Alligator mississippiensis: one gene and its partners. The protein of the gene in region 2 purifies or fractionates together with the protein of the main gene of each other region. This does not show direct contact. Links are inferred from orthologs where the notes say so. Each region holds a gene or a part of one and is shown on either strand. Other genes may lie near its edges.

The links. Proteins that work in one complex are often made in the same cells at the same time.
Region 1: the proteins of CD151 (region 2) and ITGA3 purify together in Homo sapiens (co-immunoprecipitation; 4 studies listed by BioGRID and IntAct, with this or other methods). This does not show direct contact. The link is inferred for Alligator mississippiensis from reciprocal best matches to the Homo sapiens genes CD151 and ITGA3.
Region 3: the proteins of CD151 (region 2) and ITGB1 purify together in Homo sapiens (affinity purification with western blotting; 4 studies listed by BioGRID and IntAct, with this or other methods). This does not show direct contact. The link is inferred for Alligator mississippiensis from reciprocal best matches to the Homo sapiens genes CD151 and ITGB1.

What each region holds. Positions count from the first base shown.
Region 1 is NC_081827.1:169,511,172-169,518,233, reverse strand, and holds the start of ITGA3 (integrin alpha-3), read right to left. Parts: upstream 3,015-7,062; 5' UTR 2,906-3,014; coding exon 2,736-2,905; intron 1-2,735.
Region 2 is NC_081825.1:184,108,459-184,116,114, forward strand, and holds the start of CD151 (CD151 antigen), read left to right. Parts: upstream 1-4,638; 5' UTR 4,639-4,756; intron 4,757-7,656. UniProt on the Homo sapiens protein: Structural component of specialized membrane microdomains known as tetraspanin-enriched microdomains (TERMs), which act as platforms for receptor clustering and signaling.
Region 3 is NC_081828.1:193,421,640-193,428,566, reverse strand, and holds the start of ITGB1 (integrin beta-1), read left to right. Parts: upstream 1-3,913; 5' UTR 3,914-4,015; coding exon 4,016-4,024; intron 4,025-6,927.

The DNA of each region.
Region 1 (7,062 bases), on a different chromosome or scaffold from region 2:
CAGGCCCCTTTTTCACCCACAGCCAGGAACCCAGCAAGCTGGTTCTGCAGCACTGCACGTGGGGATGCAGGTAGTTCATACCTGCCCTTTAGCACCCAGTTGCTCAACTTTTTCATCCCAAAGCTAACACATACACAGAAGAAGGACCAGCTCAAGGTCAGGCTTGCAAAAGCTGCTGCTGCCCTTCGGACTCCCCTTGCCGTCCTTCTCAGGAATGTGCGGCTCTGCATTCATCCCACCTACTCCCTCCTCATCCCCAGCCACAGATGATTGTCCCTGTAGGCCCCTCCACTCCCACTCTAGGAAGAACCTTGCTTGAGCAGTAAACAGGGAGTATGTGTGGGAGTCACAGCAAATGCCTTCCAAATGCATGCAGCTGGGAGACCAGATCTCATAGATGGATTAAGGACATGGTTTTGGAAGAATCTCTCAGTTGGGGCAGGGTCTAAGCAGCCAGTATTTGGCATGAATCAGAACGTCAGAGCTTGGCATCAGGGGCAGGCTTCAGACTTTGGGGAGCAGAAGCAAAGTGCAGAGCCAGATTTAGGAGCAGCAGGAGTTGGCAAGAGCCCCTATTCCGTGGGCTCACTGCAAAGATCCTCTGGTTCACAGGATCCACTCACTTGGTCTCCATCATGGACAAGAGTCTATTTGGGTCCCATGCCAACCCAAGGTGAGAGTGTTCTGGGAAGAGGAAAGAGCCTTGTAAAAGAGTGGGTTTTAGATTAGTCTGGATCCCTCTGTGTTATTAACTCCATTACCTAAGGGCACAACTGTGCAGACGAGTTACCACAAGGTAAGCTAGGGGGTAAGTGTGAAATGCGTCAGCTGTTTTGTAACTAATCATCATAACCTCCACATTGGGTCAGACCCTGGGTCCACCCAGCCTAGTAGCCTGTCTCCAACAGGGGCAAGTAGCAAATGAGTAGTTACAGGATCAGAGTAATAACCATGGCATGCACATACAGAATGATGCATCCCCTGTGACAATCTGCCAGTTTTCAGTAGTAAGTCTGCCCAATGGACCTCCCCTCCAAAAACTTGTCTAATCCCTTTCTGAACCTGGTTATACTACTGGCCTCCAAGACATCCTTGTGGCAATAGGTTCCACGTTAGTTATGAATGCCAATATGCCCTTACTCCATGGCACATGCAAGATGGCTTGGCCCAGGTCTCATGTACACCCCCTGGTGAGTCAAGCAAGGCTAATATCCTCAACTTCCATGCAGGGATCTGAACATAATGCAACTAAGTGACTTGCTACAGGGCACACAGGGAGCCTGTTGGCACAGCACAGAGCTAGATCTAGTTCTCCCAAGCCCTAACTGAGCACTCTAACCATTGCACAACACTCCCTCAACACCTCCCAAGCACAGGGGAGGCCCAGCGACAACCGTCAACTCCTACCGCACATGGTCCTGTCTGCAAGCCAACTTTCCCTGCAAAGAACCCACCTCCTCCCCTCCCCAACACAGCAGCTGTTCTAGAGAGGGAGCAACACAGAACCAGCGCACTCCCTCTTGAGAGGGAAAAAAGAATCCCACACTCCACGGAGAGCCAGCGTTCAGCATGAATCTCTGGAATGCAGAGCAGATGCCTTCAGTCCCTGCAGCTGTTGCAGTGAGAGCTCTCTTTCGGGCACAAGATCTGTGCTTCAATAGAAGAGACAGACCCTCCAGCTGGCTCCCGACTTCAAAACCCCCAAGGGGCCCGAGTCCCTGTGGCTCTCATGCAGACATTTCTGCTACTGCAAAGTGACTGTGCTGCACAACTGCCTCCGAGCAGTAACACTGGGCAGGGGCGTCAATGCTCATGCAAGGTGCAGGACAGCACAGGACCATATGGGCATCGCACCGGCCTTTCTACTCAAGCCAGCATGATGCTGCTGTCCAAGGAGCCAGCCACTATCTACCCAGGCTGCAGGAGGCGAATGGAAAGGAAAGTCAGGTTCCCAGTTTATTGAAGCAAGCTGCCCAGGTTCTCAGTGAAAACAAGCTGCCCAAGGGAGTGGGGATCTGGGGGCAAAAGAGTGGCAGCAAGAGAGAGCCACAGATTGTCCTCTTTTGGGAGGGCTTGACCCACGCAGAGAAGCATTGCAGGAATGCCCAACTGATCCTGGAGAATTCCTCGCCTCTCCCTGCGAATACTAATCCCAGGCTGTTCGCTCTCAGTCAGGCACTGCCGGACTCCAGCACGTTATCCTGACACTGAGAGCTTAGAGAGAGGGCTCCCGGCAGGTCAGTGCCACTAAATCAAGACGCCAGCAGAGGAAACTCTGAGCTAGTGCGCGTGCACATCTATTAGCCATCTCTAGACATATCTATATATAGATGCAAGAGAGATATAAAAGTGTACAGATCTAGATACACAGCAAACTAGAACTCTCGGTTCCAAAACGATCCCTTTTATTATCCCAAATAAAAGGGACCATTTTGGAACCAAGAGTTCCAGTTTTTTGTATGCCTTCTCATCTCAGACCAATACGGCTACCAAGTACACCCCTGGACAGATGTGTATATAGCTAGACCTCTATAGAGAGATAGATGCATACACACACACATAGACAGACAATTTCCCCTCCCACCCAGGCACGGGGGAGTGCCAGCCTTTCATGCCCCCGAGGCCTCCCGGCGCCCCGCACTGGCTGCTGCTCCGTCCCCCGCCGGGCATCGCAGGGCAGCCCTTGGCCCGGCTGCCGCTGCCACCCCTCGCCCCCTGGCCCGCCCGGCACTCACAGGTAGCGGCTCTGCCCCTGGCTCTGGCGGTGCAGGGCCACAGAGAAGCCGAAGAAGGCGCGGGCGCCGCCGCCCTGCTTGAGCACGAGCGAGCTGGTGTCCAGGTTGAAGGCGGCGGCGGCGGCGGCCAGGCAGAGCAGCGCCAGCAGCGCCCGCACGCCGGGAGCCATGATCCACCCGCCCGGCCCCCACCTTGCCGCTCTTTTCTTCCGGGGAAGGGCGCGACTGCAGCCTTAAAGGGCCCGCCCGCGCTCCCGGGCACCTGCCGCCCCTCCGCGGCCCGGCCCGGCCCGGCCCGACCCCGCCCCGCCCCGCCCCGGGGGAGGAGGATGGGGGCGCCGCCCCCCCACCCCACGCCGCGCCGCGCCGCGCCGCGCCCGCCCCGGTCCTCGGGCCCCCTCCGAGCCAGGCAGGACCCGGCGGCCCCCGCCGCGGAAGGAGGGGAGCCCGCCGTGTCCTGGCAGGCGGCAGCCCGCAGCTGGCATCTGTCCCCATTCCCCGCCGGCCCGGCCCGGCCCGGCCCGGCCCCGATCCCCGTCCTGGCCCGTGTGAGGTGGGCTCCGGCCCCCCAGGAGTGACTGCCAGCCTGCCCAGCGCGCACACTTCAGCCACAAATAGAGAGAAAGCAGGAAGGGGAGGGAGGTCGCAGGTTCATGCCTGGAGAGGTGGAGGGGGACACGGAGCAGTGCCCACTGCCCCTTGAAAGAGCCTGCGGACGTGGAGCAGTCAAACCCTGCCAGGAGGAGTGAGGAAGAGCCCGGCGGTTTCCCGCGCCCCCTTCTTGCAGGTGCCCGGCTTGGCCAGAGCCAGGAGGAGGGTGGCCAGGAGGTCCTGGGGCTTGGCGGGGCGTAACAAAAAGGGTGCGGGGGGAACCTCAGCAGCGGGTTCGGGACAAGGCGGCAGAGGGGTGGCAGCCTGGCGCACTCCAGGTAGGCGCACACCAGGGCTCAGAAGCTCTGGCTGGCGTCCCCCAGCCCAGCCACAAGGCTGGTTTTGCAGTGCAAACTTCCCACTGGCAGGACAGCTGCCCCATTTCATAGGTTTTGAAACACACCTTGTGCACTCACAACACTACACTGAAGCCTGAGGAGGGATTAAGAACAAAAGGCCAGGAAGGAGAGGAGAGTGCTGCGTCAATGACTCAAAAGTTAGGAGAGACCAGAATTAATCACATCACCATAACTGCTCACCGCAGTGCAATAGCCCTGTACAAGTGCGTGCGCAGACCACCAAGGGCGTGCTCAGAGACTGAGCCCCTGGCTCTACCATCCTAAGGCCCTAATTAGAAATGAACCCAGGTGGCCTTTGAGCTGCAAGGAAGCACCATCCCTTTTGGGACATACCTGGACAGCAAAGCCCAATGCTGCAGCTATTTCCACAGGACCCCAACCCCTGCTGAGCTCTCCATCTCCATCCCTGCAGCTGGTCAAGATGGCAAGTTCTGCAAGCCAACTCACTGCACTCACACACCAGGATTTGCAGGAGGAGGACTTTCCTCTACAAACTATCTGCAAGTCTGGGGGGGGGGATGGGACATGCATGGTACAGCAGGAGCCAGCATCATTGTCAATCCAACATTCACTGTATCTCCAAAAAAAAAAAAAAGGTATGGGGTTTGCATTGCATTTCCATGGGGGAGATGACTGTGTAGGGAAAACAGCCTTTGCCCATGTGTAATCGCTATCCTTCATGCTGCTCTAATGCCCTCGGTTCTGCTGCAGGCAGCTTCCACTTTCACAGCACTGGGAGCACTCTAAGGCCCACGTGAGGCTGGCAACCTGCACCAGTCAGCACAGATGACTGCGGTCATGACCTCAGAAACTTCCGTTTCCACCCCCACGAATAGAGGGCAGAATTAAGGGTGCACAGCAGCCACGTGCTATCTTCCACTGGGTTCACTTTCCAACTTCTCAGCCGCAGGGTGGTTAACAGGAAGCCCCAAAGGGGTGTGCCAGGACAAGGAAGCACCAGGATCTAAGTCTTGCTATGTGCAGAGAGGTTGCCTTGATGCAACTATGCTACTCTGCTGTGTCACACACTGCAACCAAGAACCTCTTGACCTGATATATGCCCCTCCAGGCTGCAGTGTACCATCCCTGAGTATGAACCACTGTATCGCTTCTGCTGCGCTCTAGAATAGCATCTGCACAATGCTGATGCTGAGCACTGTGGCTGCTCCCACGCCCACGCTTTGATTTTGGCAAGCTTATGCTTGTTGCTTTGGGGACAGATACAGAATGAGGGAGGTCTGCTTCCTGTGGGGTTTCTCAGCCCCTTGGCCTTCCTGGCTGTTCTCTTCCAAGCATTAGCTAAACCACAACAACAAACACCTTAATGATAAGTACAAACTAGACAACAGCAGGATGTGACCCCTGTGGTTTTCAACACTATTCCCTCAAAGCATTGTTTCAAAGCAGCTTTTCTATGATCTGGATGTATGTGGGTTTGTACAGCACCTAGCACAATAGGGTCTAGATCCATACCTGGGGTTTCCAGGCAGTGAAACAACACAAATAATATATTGCTAGAAAAAGGGATCTACTCAATGCAGTTCATCTTCCTTCAATCAAGAGAATTTAGTCCTAAAACAAAACCCTGGGGCTGAACTTTGCAATTCAGACCAATCCTGACTTACAGCAGGGGTTTGTGTCACTAATTGTTCTCTACTGGATGAAATTGGAACTGCTGGATTGTGTGTCATATGCCTATACAGCTGAGGGAGGCTCTCCTTTAATCAGCAGGAGAAATGGCGTGTGCTTTTGGAACAGGAGGATCTGAGTTGTTCCTGCCATAGCTCTCACGGGGCTCGGTAAATGGTGGAGTGATACATGTCAAGGCCATGGAGCGCGTGGCGACCTATGGCCTATAGGCTGGATCCAGCCTGCAAAGCAATCCAGTCCAGGCCACCAAAGTCCAATCTGGCATGGGGGATCAGTGGCAAGGACCATGTCATCCATCCTCACTACTGCGCTCCTCTCCACTGCAGAGCTGAGCTGTTGGAGGTAGGGCTGGGACTCAGGAGTCCCTGGCTCCAAGCCCCATTTGTCTTGCATTTACTCTCCTTCCAGCCATCTTGTAGACCTGGACTCCCCATCTGCCATCCCCAAGAGCCTTGGGCACAAAAGAAGGCTTTGTATTTCTAGCCATGGTTGCACGGATCCAGACCCACCAGGGCAGTGGTGTCTTTATCTCCCAGCGCCTTTGCAAATATTTGCCTGTGCAGTGCCAGTAGGTGTGGGCGGCTGGCCCAGCCCTTGTAGACTTAAAGCCCTGCCCTTGATGGGGGTCAGGGAGTGATAAGGGATGGAGAAGGTGACTTGGTCCCTAAGAAGGAAGCAGGTACTCTTAAGGGCAGAACACCTTCAGCTCAGCTGGATTTAAGAGCACTCTGTCCCAACCGTGAGAACTGGGAAGATTGAAAGAGTCACAACTACTTTGCATAGTGATCTGCACCCATATAATGTACTTCTGGCCTTGCACACACTCTGCACGGATGCTACTGGAACCTCCCACGGTTCAGGGCAATGGAGAATCCCCTCCTGTGGGCAGGCAGAATCTCTCCCTGCCAGCCCAGGCCTGGGGGACTGAGGAAGCCAGTGCAGCAAAAGGCATGGCCTCATCTGAGCCCTGCACAAGGAAGGAAAGAGACCTTTGACCAAGCAGCCAGCAGGAGGCTTCCCAACCAATGGAAGTAGGTCTGCCGTGCCAGGCACTCCAGGCTGAGCCAACATCAGAGGCAGGCAGCCTTTTTTATATCCTGCCAGCTACCTTAGCACTCACCCTGTCTTCAGTAAAGAGCAGGAATACATTTCCTCTGAGAGACATCAGCAGCCACGAGAGGGACGATGATGCTCTCCAGAATTCAGGGCTGCTGACCAACTGACTCACTTTCCTTGATGATGTACCCCAGCTCCCCCCAGGAATGGACGTGCCTGCCAGCAAATGTCAGACAACCTCCCCTCACCTTCCCACCCCACCGCCACCCCCACCCCCCAGCAGGCTCCTGGATGAACTTGTCCCCTGGGAAGGAGACGCCCTTCCTGAAATGCACAACTTGGCTTTCACCCTGAGCACCGTGCAGTATGGCTGGGGCCAGAGCACTATGGTACAGGGAAGTGATGCTAAAGGGGAGGCAGGTATATGGACTGGGGGTCCCTTTGTCAGGAACGGCCTGGATGGATGATGGACAATGGTTGCAGCCAGAGGAGAAGGGCTGCAGGGAAGGGGTGGTCAGGAGCCTGAGGAAGAGGAAGGTCTTTCTGCGGGGAGGTGGGGGGGGAGGATTCCTCCCACAGCTCAGGGAAAACTATGTATAAGAAACATGTGT
Region 2 (7,656 bases):
TTGCAGGACCTCCCCCACCCAGGGGCCCTAGACATGATACAATGCACGAGCCCTCCCTCACCATACCACAGGAAACCCTGATTCACCACAGCACAGGGGTCCCCAGTGTGCTGTGCAGGCTCCCTATACTGCTACGTAGCCCTACCATGTGTCTGCACAGGGTTTCTAGGTTCCTCTGAGCCCTCTGGCCATGGGCTCTCTCAGCCCTTTGGGCTGTGCTAGTCTGCCCTGCCCCTAGGGGTGGGGGCAGACAGCAGAAGCTGAAGAAGGGAGGGGAGCATGGGAACTCTGGTGGCAGCAGCAAGAACAAGAGCAGGGTGATATGTGGGCCAAGAGCCCAGGGGCTGCACGTGGCCTGTGGGCACCCATTTGGACAGCCCTGCCATAAATTACTGGCTAAATGACATCTAATGTAACAATGCTTGTTATTGGCTAAATGACGTCTGATGTGACAGTGCTTGTCCAAATACAGGCAACTCTAGACTTCCAGATACTCTGCATCAGACCCCCACCCTAACTGTATGAGACTATTAATATACAGTACTTCAAGGCTGGGAGTATTTACCTCCTGCGTTTTTGGCTTGCCTAGTACGTTGGACTAATCTCTCAAAGTTTTTATCTGTAGCCAAGAAGGATCTTACTTAAATCCCATGACTCCTGGAGCTGGGGCTTTAAGAGAAGCACCCAGTTGTTGTGCAGCTCATGCTAAAATCACCAGAGCAGGCAGCACTGGTTGTATGTAAGGAAAGGCAATTTGTAAAGTCAGGTTATGTGGGCAAGTTCATGCATCCTTCACAAAATAGCTTGCAAGATCAAGGCCTTTGTTTTGAAGACAGCTGTTAGAATGCATGGGACCTGCTTGCAAAATCTACTCTGTCCCTGCATGAGTTGTATTCACTTGCTCCGTTTTATTGGGATTGAGCAATTGACGGATTTGCTTATGTCTCCACTAACAGTTGTTTGGCAGTCAGTGCCTGGGGGTAAGAAAGGTGAACTGGCTGTCTGATGCCAGTGGAAGCTTCTGCCTTAATGCCAAGCTAATGCAGGTGTGGTGGGAGTTCTCCAGAGGCAGTATCTTGTGTGGATTTTTTTTTGGGAGGGAATATTTTGTTCCCCAAAGATGCCAGGCCTGGGGTGAATCCAGCTGACTTCACTATGCCTTCACATGGGAGCAGCTTTTGGCAGAAGCTGTGAAGCTGCTTGTCTCTCTGGCATCTACAGTCCTCTTGCGTATTGAGTTACTTGCTTATATTATATCAGGATAGGGTCTGTGAGACACGGTAGAGTAATGGCTTTGTTGACTTGACACGCTCGGGATCTCAATATCATGCTGTCAGGCAGGAGGGCATGACACAAAATTATATACACAAAATATTCATATGAAAATTATTGTTCTGCACACATATCCATACATAGACACACACTCGGGCAGCTGCATGTTGGTGCTTGCGGTGCTTGACGACTAGGAGAAATTCCAGGGGCAGAGCAGGGAATGGAGCCGGGAGCAGGGTGAAGAGCTGGGACAGGAGGGAAGCCAGGGGTCAAGGCGGCAGAGAGGCCAAGGGCTAAAGCAGCAGAGAGGCTGGGATGAGGATCAGAGGAAGCAGAGAAACGGGAGTGTTGGAGGCGGCAGAGAGAGAGAGCAGGGATGGAGGTGAAAGAGAGAGGAGATGAAGATCAGAGGGGCGGGGAGCAGAGTTTGGTAACAGTTTTATTAGAAAAGGGGTAACACAATATTTGGATTACAAATTATTGGTTCCTGCACACACAGTTACAGTCATGCGCTCACACAATGGTAGCAGGGGAGAAACTGTTTAGTAGAGAGATTGAAATCAAGGGGTATAGAAACAGAGCTCAGGTCCCTTGTGTGGAGGGAAGATGCAGGTGATAGATACCTATCCAGGCTGAGTCGATTGTTGATGGCCAGTCGTGGTCTTCTCCAGCAAGGTGTTGTCCAGAGGGGGTTTGCCGGCAGGGCCTCTGGGTGGATAGGTGGTATGGTGTAGTGCTGGTTCAGATGGAGAGGGCATCCCAAGGAGGTCGCACTCTACCACCCTTTTTATAGGGGTGGGCTACCTGTGACTCTAATGGGGAGGACATGCCCAGGCAAGGGCCAGTCCTGCTCAGATGAGGACATGCAGTTCCATGTCCTCATTGTTTGGTGAGATACAATAGTGGAGTTGCTGGTTTCTTTTCTGTTCTTTGTTTCTATGTTGCTGGTTTCTTGGAGGGTCTTTCAAATATTGGGTTTTGTCTCTGGTTCTGGGAGTAGGTCTGTGGTTTCAGAAAGAGTCACTGCCCAGAAGCAGAGGCAATGTCCAGCTGTCATGATTGCACTTATGCAGCTGCCAGTGGTAGCTGCTTTTTGTTTTGCCCCCTGCCTCCCTCCCCCAAGTTGGCACCTGGGGCAGTTGCCCCCTTTGCCCTGACAGGTGCCCCCTTTGCCCTGTGGTTTCAGGGAGAGTCAATGCAAGGCAGTGGTAGGGTCGTTAAGTTGATGGTCCGGTTATTCAGTAGGAGCTATTTTTAGGCCTGCTACCATTATGTCTCAAGCACTCTCATTCACCCAGGAACCAATTTACATGGGAGGTATAGGTACGAGTCACAGTTAAAACACAATTACAATAGGGTATACCCGGGCGGGGGACACAAAATGGAGACTTGACAAGACGAGATGGAGACTTAACATTACTTTGGCTAACTTGCATAAACAGGCCTAAAAGATACAATATCAATATAAAACAGTAAAAATGAATACAAATATAATAGGAATACAATATAAACCAATAAAAATCAATACCAAAATAATGGCACTATTTACAATGATACATGGACAATATAAAAGGGGCTTGTTACAGTAATGGAGAGCTTATCCTATGTTCGTAACTATGACTTATCACAACTACTTATAAGGAATAGAGAGGGCAAAGAGAAAGTCAGAAATGGTTGGAGAAGGGAGGGAATGTATTTTTAAATTAAAAAAACCTCAAACAACCAAAACTGGGGGTTTTGCTACAGCTTGTGGTGGGACTCTTCCAAGCTTTGCCCTCAAGAGTCAGTAAAGGGAGAGGCTGCCCAGATGCATGTGACTGCATTGCTGCCAGTCTCCCTTAATGTCCTTGAGCTTGGCTTCTCTTCCACAGGGTGTGAAAATCTCCCTGGGCTTGGTTAATGAACAAGTGGCATCTATGGCATCAAAGGAAAAAAAATTAGCCTTTCACTCCTAGCAAAACAGACACAGCAGGAGACCCTTCCTCTTAAAGGAATGAGATAACTCAAATGGCAGAGCTGTTAAAGATATGAGGAGGGCAAGGTCCATTTTGCATTCCAGGATGTCTGCATCAGGTTGCATTTTTGGTGAAGTTTTCGTGGAATGTGAGGGTTAAACATTAAATTTTTTTTGTTTATTTTAAGGAAATAAAGTCCTGGCAACTTGGGGATTCAGAGAAATGAGGAGGGGGAAGGAAAAATGTGTGTTTTGTGGCCTTTCCTGTGGGGTTTATTTTTAGTATCCAGTAACTTTCCAAGGACAACAGTTTCCCTAGGCCTTAAAAAATGCTTATGCTATATTATCTTATTTTAGTTGGGAGCCAATTTTTTTTGGCAGCTGTGCCTCAAATTAGCCCTGTGACACTCTGATTCCCTTCCTCTGTACCTTCTGCGGCTCTGCTTTGTGCTCTATCTGCTACTGTGATGCTTACCCTCTCCCTGCTGCATGCCGCACAGAGGCTACCCAAGTCACTTGTGGCATGTGTGCTGCAGGTTGGCCACCTCTGTCTTATTTAATATAGAGGTGGCTCTCTATATATTATATATAGAGAGAATTTAGCAATGCATCAGCATGTTATATTCTGTAAAGGGGGAAGGTACTGTAAGGAGTGAAGGGTTGGGGACTGACGTTATTCTTCACTCTACTTCAGTGATTCTCAACTGGGAGATCCTTTTAAGGGTAATTTTCAGTATGATCACTGTTAGGTGTGCAAACACTTGAACTTGATTCTCACGATAAACCCAGCTATTTCAAATAGGAATCCAGAAGATCAAAACCATTTTGCCCGGTTGTGGTCTGTCGGAGTTCTTTGCAGCAGATGAATGCTCTATCGTTTTTCTGGGTTGTTTGTTATTGCTGTGTTGGTCTAAGGACATAGGCAGACAAGACTCTCTGGGTAAATGTGATATCTTTTATTAGACCAACTTAATAGTTGTAGAAATTGTTCTTTACAAGCTTTTGGGCACAAGCACCCTTCTTCACGCATAGGGAGAGTGCATATTGGCTTCTGTTCCATCCAGAAACTATTTAAGTTGGTCTAATAAAAGATACTGGATTCACCCAAAGAACCTTGTTTGCATATATTTTTCTGCAAGCTTTCGGACTCACACGCCCTTTGTCAGGCTCAGGCAAAGTTCAAGATGGTAAAAATTCCCCATAAGTAGGAAATCAACTTCATTTTTGCACAGAGGGAGCTGAAGCTAGAAGGAGGAGAGCTACTGCTCTGCTCTGAGCAGCCCCCTACGCCTGCGTGTGCCTGGCTGAGGCTGGGGGTAATAGTCACCATCTCCCACTAGGCGTCTCTGGATCTGAGTTGATTCAAACAGTTAATCACGAAGGACTGGGGACGGGGAGGGGTTTGGGGAGGCGGCTGCAGAGCAGGGCTCTAGGGCTGTTTTCACTTTCGCTGCAGCTCGCAGGGTGAGAGGCTTGGTACTGCTCTGCCCTGCCCCAGCCCTTCCTTGGCACCCGGATCGCTTGGAAAAGGTAAAGAGCGGTGCCAGGAACCCCCTGATCCTCTTGTGGGGGGGGGGGGGGGAGGGAGGAAGCCCACCTGGAGCAGCAACAGCAACAAAGTAAGCCCTCCTCTCCTCCCCCCAGCCCTGGACTTTGCAGGGGAGGTTGGATGGGCCTGAGGTTGGTGAGGCCAAACAGTAGGGGGTTGCTCCGTGTTAGGGATGGGGGCATCTGTAGAGAGAAGCTGGTTGCTGTGCTGTAGACATGACCCTGCCACCCACCTCGCCTCTTGTTTAGATGTGGAGTGAGTGTGTGCGCGTGTGGGCGGAGGGAGGATGGGGGGGTAAAACTCTTCCCTTCTTCCCCCAGCAGCCCCCCCTCCAAACTTGCTGGCTTGGCCCCAGGTTTTTCCTTTGGTTTTTGGGAAGGGATGCAAAGAAATGCAAAACCACATGGGTTTGGGCTGACGCTGCATTAATCTCGAGCCTTTGAGTTGCAAAAGTTGAGACATAAGCCCCCCCCCCCTGCAAATCGATTCCCCCCTCAAAAGTTTGCTTCCCTGCTTAGAAGAAATGCAAACATCTAGCACTCTTGGTTCCAAAATGATACCTTTTATTAGACCAACTGAGAAATGGCAACAAAAAAAAATATTTTCCAGAAAGAATACTTCTCAGCTTAGTACAGGTCATATCCTGAAGCCCCAGAGCAGCGCTGAGGTGGTGCCTTTGAGAAGGCTGTGGATCCTTGCCAGGCAGCATCTGTGATGTTCTTGAGAAACCAGAACTTAAAAACAATGTCTTTGGCTCTGTCTGAGCGCATCAGAAAAGGCTCCTGCCTGGAAGAGCTTGTAGTCAAAGGCCCTCACCTCTAATTGCATCAATTTTTTTTTGTGGGGGGTCCTCTCTGTTACTAATGGGGATCTATGGGAACATGGCATCACCTTGTATTTGTTGAGAAGCAGGACCTTTTCTTTCTAGCCCCAGACCAAGGCTTCATAGCAGTAAGGGCTGGGAGCACATTGCACTGCATACCTGTATCATTAGGAGCCTTTGAGGCACAGGAGCCTGAGAGGGTGGTTGTTAGTGGAAGGGAAGGGGAGGTCCGAGAAGAGACCTAAAGGGAAAGAGCAAGGTGTCTTGGCTCAGTGGCAGTGGGGTGGGTGTTGTAGGAACCAGATGAAGGGAGGTGTGGGGTGTGATATGGAGACCAGGAATAACTGAGGATAAGGAACCAACTTCAGCTTCATGATTGATAAGGAGACAGTCCAGCAAGGCAGAGAGGTGGAAGGAAGAATGGCATGTGTGAGGGTGGTGAAGGGGAGAAGAGATGCAGGGAGAGGCAGTGCTTTGCAGAGCCCTTTGGCCAAGTGTCAGCTGGGTGGCTGTATGTCTTACACCAACAGAGTAGAAAAGCCCGATTTCTCTCTAGGCTGTTACATGGCCTAGGCCAGTGATTCTCAATCTTTTTTTTTGGTAACAGAATCCATTTGTAAACACCAATAGCCCAGTGCCCCTCACTCCAGCCCCCCAACATGGGGGGCAGGGGGGCCCCAGTCAGCCCCTCGCAGGCTGGAACTGTGCCAGCTTGCAAGGGAAAAGCCACAGTTTCCCATGTTTTTCTCCATTTTTAAAGTCTGTTAATTCACTTTTAAAGTTTGTTCGCAACCCTTTCAAATATTCTTGCAACCCACTTTTGGGTTGCAACCCACAGGTGGAGAAATGTTGGCCTATGCTGTGCCATTCTTAGAGGTGATGATTGGAGGCAGAAAGAAATTAAGGAACTAGCTCAAGGTCTCACATACATGCAATCTCTTGAGGGCTCTAGGAGCATAATCACAAGATCAGCATGAGTTGGCTTTCTAAAACTGGCCTACACTCTATTTTTGCACATGTCGAGGTGGCTTCCCACTTCACTTGGAATTTCAAGGTTTGTCTAAACTCCGCTTCAATAGAGGGACTGTGAGTATTCTTAGATTTTGCTGAAGGGCACTTACATCTCTTTCTCTTGTTTGTTAAAGGTTCCCTTCTATAGAAAAAAGATTTGGTTGGTAGGCTAATTGGTGAAATCTTTGTAGAGAGCTCTGGGCTGAGTGGAGAATGAATTTACCAGCAAATCCACCCTGTTATGTCCTGTTATTCTTTTTATCTTTGCACTACTCCCTGCTTCCCACTTCGAAACTGGGTAAGAGCAGCCATGGCTGAAGATTACTGTAGCGTCACAGTGTTGCTCGCCATGCATAGTTTTTATCCAGCAGCCTTTGTTCCATGGTGTCTAATGAAGAGGATTATCGATCGTCAGAATGTCTTGATCACAGAAGCTCTTGATAAGAAATCCAGCTTAATATAGAGTTTGGCACTTAAGGGTTGTATATTTTTGATGATGAGCGCTCAGGGTATCTTATGAAACTCTTTACCTTACCCTATTCTAAGTTTTTTTTGGTTCTGGGATTTCACAAGATTTCATGAACCCCTTTTTGGGCAAAAGGGGTTCATGAAAGCAGTGTTTCAGAGGTGATGCTGTTAGAGATGGCAGCCGTTTTATCAAAAAATCCTATAAGGCACCCTTCTGCGACCCTACTATCAGAAACTGGCTTCTAAGATCTATGATACTTGTATGAATTTAAGTTCTAAGAGGCTGTCACTGTGACAAGACATCATCTTGATAATAGTAAAACAAAATGGTGCTTTTACTTGTTCCCATCAACAGTGAGATTGGACATCTTCAGTCCCCCAAAACACCTGCTTATGATGAAGGGGGCATAACAACTTGCTGTTGGGATGTCTGGTTTGTGGTGAAGAGAAGGTCTGGACCACATGCCCATGATCCTAGGTAGGACTACTGAGTGGCAGTGCAACACTAGTGATATGTCTGTCGCCATGGGCCATTAAGGGTAATTCAGGACAGACTGGGTGTTACTTTTGTGGACCAAG
Region 3 (6,927 bases), on a different chromosome or scaffold from region 2:
GACCCTATTTTCTAATAATAAATTCAGTGTTAAGCTAGTCTTTACGTTTAGCAACTTCTTCATTCTTGTACCATTGCAGGCACATACCCATATTCTGAAAAACTATCAGCAAGGCCGTCTAAAGATTCTCAATGTATTCCTTCCAAAAGCATATAGAACATGTAGGCAGGCATACATTAACTGGGGCAAACACAGGAGGACTGTACAGACCTGTTTTCAGGGACGGAACTGGAAAAAAAAACTAGTATAAAAGTGCTAATGTGCTTCAGTGGACAGAGCGCTGGACTTGGTTTCAAGGGACTTGGGTTCTATTTCTGACACTGACCTGTTCTTCCCTTTCTCTGTCTTGCTTATATGAACTGCAGTTTCTCTAGGGAAGGAGCCATCACCTGCCACACGCAGTACCCAACATGCGGTGTTTAGATTTCAGCTGGAACCTCTAGGCACTTCTGTAAAACTAAGTATTCTTTTATAGCACTCTATCTTTGAAAAAGTTTGCAAATACTGGCTAGTTATTACTCATATTTGTCTGCCTCAGATTATATTAATTATCCCATTTTACAGATAAGGAAAATGAGACAACAACGCTTAGGGAAGAGGTTCTCAGACTGTGGTTCATGGACCATCGGTGCTTTGGAGAGTATTTATTACTGGTGAGCTTATCAAGTTTATTGCCTGATATCAAATACATTAGAAAAATGAAAAAAAAAAAAAATTAGACATTTTTCTAAAATGACTCCTACATGCAGTCAATTACTGTACTTACCACAGAGCTATTACAGTCACACATGGGAGAGTCATGTGTGCACACTGGTGGTCCATGAAACAGTCCCTGTAGTAAAATACAGTCCACACATGAAAGTCATTGAGAACCCCCAAGTTGGGTCAGAATCAGTGGCAGGGTAATCATGAATATTGGAGCAAGATGACACCACCTAACTAAACCAGATGTGCCCACTAAGCAACTCTATACACAAAACATACTGTAAATATTTGGAAAACTGTATCTAAGATACTAGAATTCATAAAGCTGTTCCTGCCAACTTCATCATCTATGCACAGGAATTCTAAATTTTTACACAAATACAGTTACTTTTTCATTTTTATGCATGTTCTTATCCAGTATCTAACGGATGCATTTCTATTGCATCCTAGAAAATGTACCACTTTGCTGGTATTGCTAGTAGGAATGTACATTTTACAGCATGAGCATGTATTCCTTACAATATTCACAGCAAAAGAATATACACAATGCCTTTTACTTTGAGCACAAATTACTAATTATATGTCTTTGCTGCTGTGCAAGAGTAATCCAAGTAAATGTGTGAAATAGCATAGAACTATATTATTAATTTAATTCAATAATTTAAATCCACCCATTAACATTCAAATTTAGCATATATCACCTTGTAAGCAAACTCTGATCAGATTACTACCTTTATAACTGAATACAGATTTATTGTAAAAAATAATAATTTCCAACAATACTACAAAATTCTTACAAACACATTTAATTTAAAATTTAGTAACCCAGTGAAATCAGTCCTGACTTTACACAGTGGTTTTTCTCTTTGTTTACTGTGTTTAGTTGGCACACTGTTGAGCAGCACAGTCATGACTTATCTCCATGCCACAGTATACTACAACCAACGGTAGACTTTGGGGTTGCATGGGCTATGAACAATGCCAGGAAATGGAATGAGCAGATTATGTGCTGTAGTCATCCCGCCCACATGCAACCAAGAAAAGAGACCTAAATCTGATTACCTGCTCAATGTAGGTAGTGCATCTTTCCTCATCCAATTCTACCAGCAGTGAGAGATTGCACTTCAGTTAATTCACTGTTTTTCCCTATGCCAATTTGTTTGTACAGTGAATTAGTATCAGAGTGCTTAGTGAAAGACAAAGAATCAGTAAGTTGTGTCCAAAGCTCTTATCAGTGTCAACTATAGCTGATAATAGTGAGTGGCCATGAACAGGCATTCACTTCTGCTTCTACCAGTGGAAGTTTCTGAGTGATCATACAGGCACTCAGCCTGCCACCACCCTCTCCCCTTCTCAAGATTAGGGTGATCCTGGCCTAGGGTGCGGTGACTGCTCCACTTCTCCCATCCCATTCGGGGGGGGAGGGGGTGGAGCAGTGCAGAAAGGCTCCTTTACTTCCACAGACCAGACACGCAGGTCTGGGGAACAGGTGGAGTCCTTCCCTACTGTTCCACTTCCCTCCTGTAGACTGGTCAGGCAGCCAGGAAGTCACTGGCCTGGCGAAGCACAAGGAGCATTGCCCACTACCCCAGGGAGACCTTTCCCAGCCCCCACTGGGTAGCGCAGGCAGCAAGGGTAACCCAGCAGGGGCAGAAAAAGAGCTAGGAAGAGGTTCCTAAGCCCTGTTTCCGGCCCCAACATCACTACCCTGCTGGTAGTCCCTAGTTTGGGGACGAAGTAGGGGGCAGAAGTACATCACACTGCTAGTAGCTCTAATGCTGCCCTGGTAAAAAAGTGCCAAGGGCAGGGGAGTCACAGTAATTTGTATCTGCCAAGCAGAATACAGAAAGCAGACAAGTTAGTACTTTATTCCTCAAGTTTTAACCACTAGAAACCAACAGTAGCATCTACCAGAAAAGGCCTTTATTGTGTATGTCACGGTAAGATCAGTTCAGATTTCAGTGCAAGATAACTAGCATGTAGAAGAGGGATGTCAAAGATACTGCCCATGGAGCCCTATCATTCAGCCTGAGGTGCTGCCCGTGGTTCTCTGACTGGACCTAAGCACTGCATGTAGCATATGCTCCAGACCACCCAGAGGAGCTGGGTGCAGGGACAAGCAGGGCAAGACCACCCTTCTTTCTCCCTGCTCCACCCCCTGCCCCAGAGGCACAGGGGAGTTTTGTCCAGGGTGCAAAAAACTCATTAGTTAATGCCTCTACTCCTGCTTGTTTTAGGTTTATCAGAAAACCCCAACACAGACTGGAGCACGTGGCGACACACTGGTGGCAAACGAGAATAAGGAGAGGCAGCAAACAGTGGCTCTGAACCAGGGATGCCGGCAAGCTGCAGGGGGCTGCCCTGACTTGGATACGACCCAGAACCACTGCACTATGAGACTTCTCTCAGCACCAGCGCTAGTCAGGGATACAAGCAGAAATCAGTAGTGTAGACATAGTTATACCAGGAAAAAACCCAACTTTTCTTGGTACAGCTCATCTCCCTCATGGGAAGCAGCTCTAAACTTTGTCTCCAACCCACAGCTGTGCTGAGGAAGGAGCAGGCACACCAGGATGGGGTTTACTGCAGGGATACAGGCAGGGGCAGAGGGGTGCACTTGCACTCCCCCCCAAAGGTTACAACCAGCCGCCTGGCAGCGACAGCAGCCTTTCTAACCAGGCAGGGCGGAGGAGGCCGTTTGACTTCATGGCTCATTACAATCTACTGGATCCCTTCTCAACTCTTCCTTCTCTTCTTTTTACGCAGTCCCTGAAGCTGGCCTCTGCTCTGCCACACTGCTGCTCCTGGGAACAAGTGCCCATTTCTCCACCCGGCGGGTGGTTTTCCCCTCCTTGCCAGAAGCTGGATTTGGTTTTGCTGCCGTCTTCAAGGGAACAGTCCAGCCCTAGGCCCGGGCCTCTTCCCCCGCATCTCCTTCCCGTATCACCGAGGGGAAACGCGGTCCGTGCTGTTCTCAGCCTCCGCGCCCCGACCCCAGCTCCTCCACCCGCCCCCGGCCCCGGCCCCGGCCCCGGCCCGGGCCCGCCGCCTCAGGCGCTGCCCCGGCCCCAGCGCCCCCCACAGCCCGAGCCCGAGGCCGGAGAAGCGGCTCCGCCTGACGCCAGCGGGCAGGAATGCGCCCGCGCCCGCCCCCGCCCCGGAAACAGCGCGCGGGGCGCCCGGCCCGGCCCGTCCCCGGCCCCAGCCCCGTCCCGGCCCGGCCCTCCCCCGGCGCGGCGCGGCAGCACCGGCACGAGGCGGCGGGACAGCGCCACGACACGAGCCTGCGCCGCGAGGGGCCGCCACGGCCATGGCCAAGGTAGGGGCTGGGCCGGGCTGGGCTGGGCTGGGCCGGGCCGGGCCTCTGCGGCGGCGGCCCCGGGCACTTGCGGAAAGGGCCGGGGCCGCTTGTTGCGGTGTCCGGGGCAGGCGGCCCCTTGTGCGGGGAGGCCCCGGGCGGGGACAGCGCGGCCTCCGCGGCGCCGTCATGGCCGGGACAGCGGGGAAAGGAGCGCGAGCGGGCGCTCCCCGGCCCGGCCCGGCCCTTTGTGTGGGCTGGGAAGAGGTTGCCTCGGGCCCGCTCCCCCTGCTGCCGAGCGGGTAAGGGGGGCTCTTCCCCGCTCTCCGCGCCCACTGAGGGGGGGGGGGTGCGCGACTCCCGCCTGCTTCGGCGCAGGGCGGCCGGGGAGGATCCCTGGGCCCCCCGCAGGGAGCTGGGTGCCAGACCAAGGTGTGGGCCCAGTCAGGCTGGATCCTGAGCAGGCTGCCCCGGTTCTGGTTTGGTGGGGCACGTCTGGCTGCCGACTCAAGCCGTCCAGCAGGGCTTGTTTGCACTTTTGCTGGGCCTGCCTTCAGCGTGTCAAAGCAGACACAGCCGACCCGTTTAGTTGCTGGCCTGTGTCCTGGGCTATATCTGTTTTGTTACCCCAGCAAGATCTAATTCAGACTATCCCTGTTTCTGGGAAAGTAGAAGTCCCAGAGAAGGAGGCTATCACACAGCATGCGCACAGACACCACAGTTATTTCTTTATGCAGAGAGGAGATACTCAATTAGAGGTAGGATTTTTTAATATTCTGACTAAATACCACTAGTAAGTAAGTTAGGAAATATCCCCTGCAGTAGGACTTTAGCAGTCATAATAGCAATCAGCAGAGGCACAGTCTAAACTTCTACACTCATGATGATGAAACCAATGATTCATTTTCTGGTCACAAAAATATTACTTACCCCAGGGCAAATGGGTAATTGGCATTTTGCAAGACTGCCTGAAGCTAACTTGTAAGGCTTGTTGAAGCAGTGAGCAATAAGCAACACGCAGTCAAGACATGGCAAGTTTAAAGGGCGTTTTAGTCTTAGTTTCTGTCTTTTTTGAAGTATTTAAACAGTGACAGGGTTCTAGCCTGCAGGGCTGTCAAGCAGGAACCCATCTTCACAGGGAAAGAAATTACTGCTAGAAAATACTTCAGTACACTGTCTGTGGCTTAGTGGTTTGATCATGGGGTTAATACGTGTGAGAGCTGAAGTCATTTGCCTGCCTGCCCGCCCAATTTACTATGTGACCCTGACCAAAGTCACTCTCTCTCTCCACATGAGCATTAAACTAACATGAAGAAAAAGAAATGTCAATTGGATCCATCATTGATAAGCACTTTGTAATCCAATTAGAAAAATTCAGACAATAGCTTGAAGTATTCATGCTTTTTCATGATTGTTAATCTTTTATCCAATCCAGTTTGAAGTATCCCAAGTGATTGGTCATCTGATATTTCCCTTGTATATGTAGTCAGCTGGAGGACTGAGTACCATCCCCCACCCAGAGCTTTCCTGGATGTTTAGTACAAGTTTCTTTGTTCATGATTTCATCCCATAATGCCTCAGAATTCTCCTCTGTAGTCCTAGGATAGGTCTGCTACACTATACTGAAGTGTAGATGACTATGCTTCTCTGCACCACACTAAATGCCTTTGTTACTTTTGGTATGAATAACCTGTTATTTGTAAAATAGGCATCACCTTTCCCTTCACTCCCTGTCATGGTTTAGTAGAGTTGTGGTACTTATTTAGCTTTAACATCTTCATGAGAAGTTGGTCTTGTTACTATTTTCTGAAGTCTCTAGTTGTCAATTTTATTTAATTTTTAAGATGCCAGGTTACTATAAATAAGTGAGGGAAGTGCCAGGTGTAGTTGTACCAGGAACTTTAGCAGGCAGGACTGAGGTCCACTCAGAGGAGAAGTTCCTTTGAATGATAAATTCAGAATTTGCAACAAAAAGAAGAATCAGTACAAGGAGGCAGTCTCGCCCATTAGACTGTTGGCGCGGGGGGGGGGGGGGGGGGGAAGAAGAGAAAAAAACCCCAAAACAAACCACACTAGTCATCAAGCTATCATTATTTAATATTAGTCATCAAGTCGATTAACTCATATGCAGTTCCAGGCACATGGTACCAGAAGGGACAATAGGTTCAGTAAATTAAGTTTGGAACAGTCCAGCAGAGCCATAGAGCCTGGGCTTGACACAGATGGTTTCAATTTCTCTCATTCCCTGGATTGAATGAAGTTATATGGACTCCTTATGCTTTGGAGCAAATAAGGCAATAGCCAACACAGTCTAGCTGACCAACCCAACAGGCCTAGACTGAAGAAGCCCTGTCATTTTTAGCACCCCCAAGATCCAGGTAGCAGACTGCACTGTGGTTTGGCTGGATCTGGTGATGGAGCTCAGGTGGAGAATTTTTCAATCAAATACACCCAGTTTCTAGGAACATTACTACTTTAGGATGTGCTTTCACAGACTTTGTTTTAAGCATTAGTCAGAGTTTAATTTCAGCTTTTCCTTAGGAGACAGCATCAGAAGACTCCATTTGGTTCGAGACAGAAGTTCGATAAACTATTTTGACTCAAGTCTGATAGTACATTTCATAGATTTCATAGACATTACGGCTGGAAGGGACCTCGGAAGATCATCGAGTCCAGCCCCCCGCCCAAAGGGCAGGACGTCAGCTGGGGTCATAGGATCCCAGCAAGATAAGCATCCAGTTTCATCTTGAAGGTGTTCAATGAAGGCGCTTGAACAACCTCCGGCGGCAGGCTGTTCCAGACCTTGGGGGCTCGGACAGTAAAGAAATTCTTCCTTATGTCCAGCCTGAAACGATCTTGTAGTAGTTTGTGACCATTCGACCTTGTCATCCCTTGGGGCGCTCTGGTGAACACACGTTCCCCCA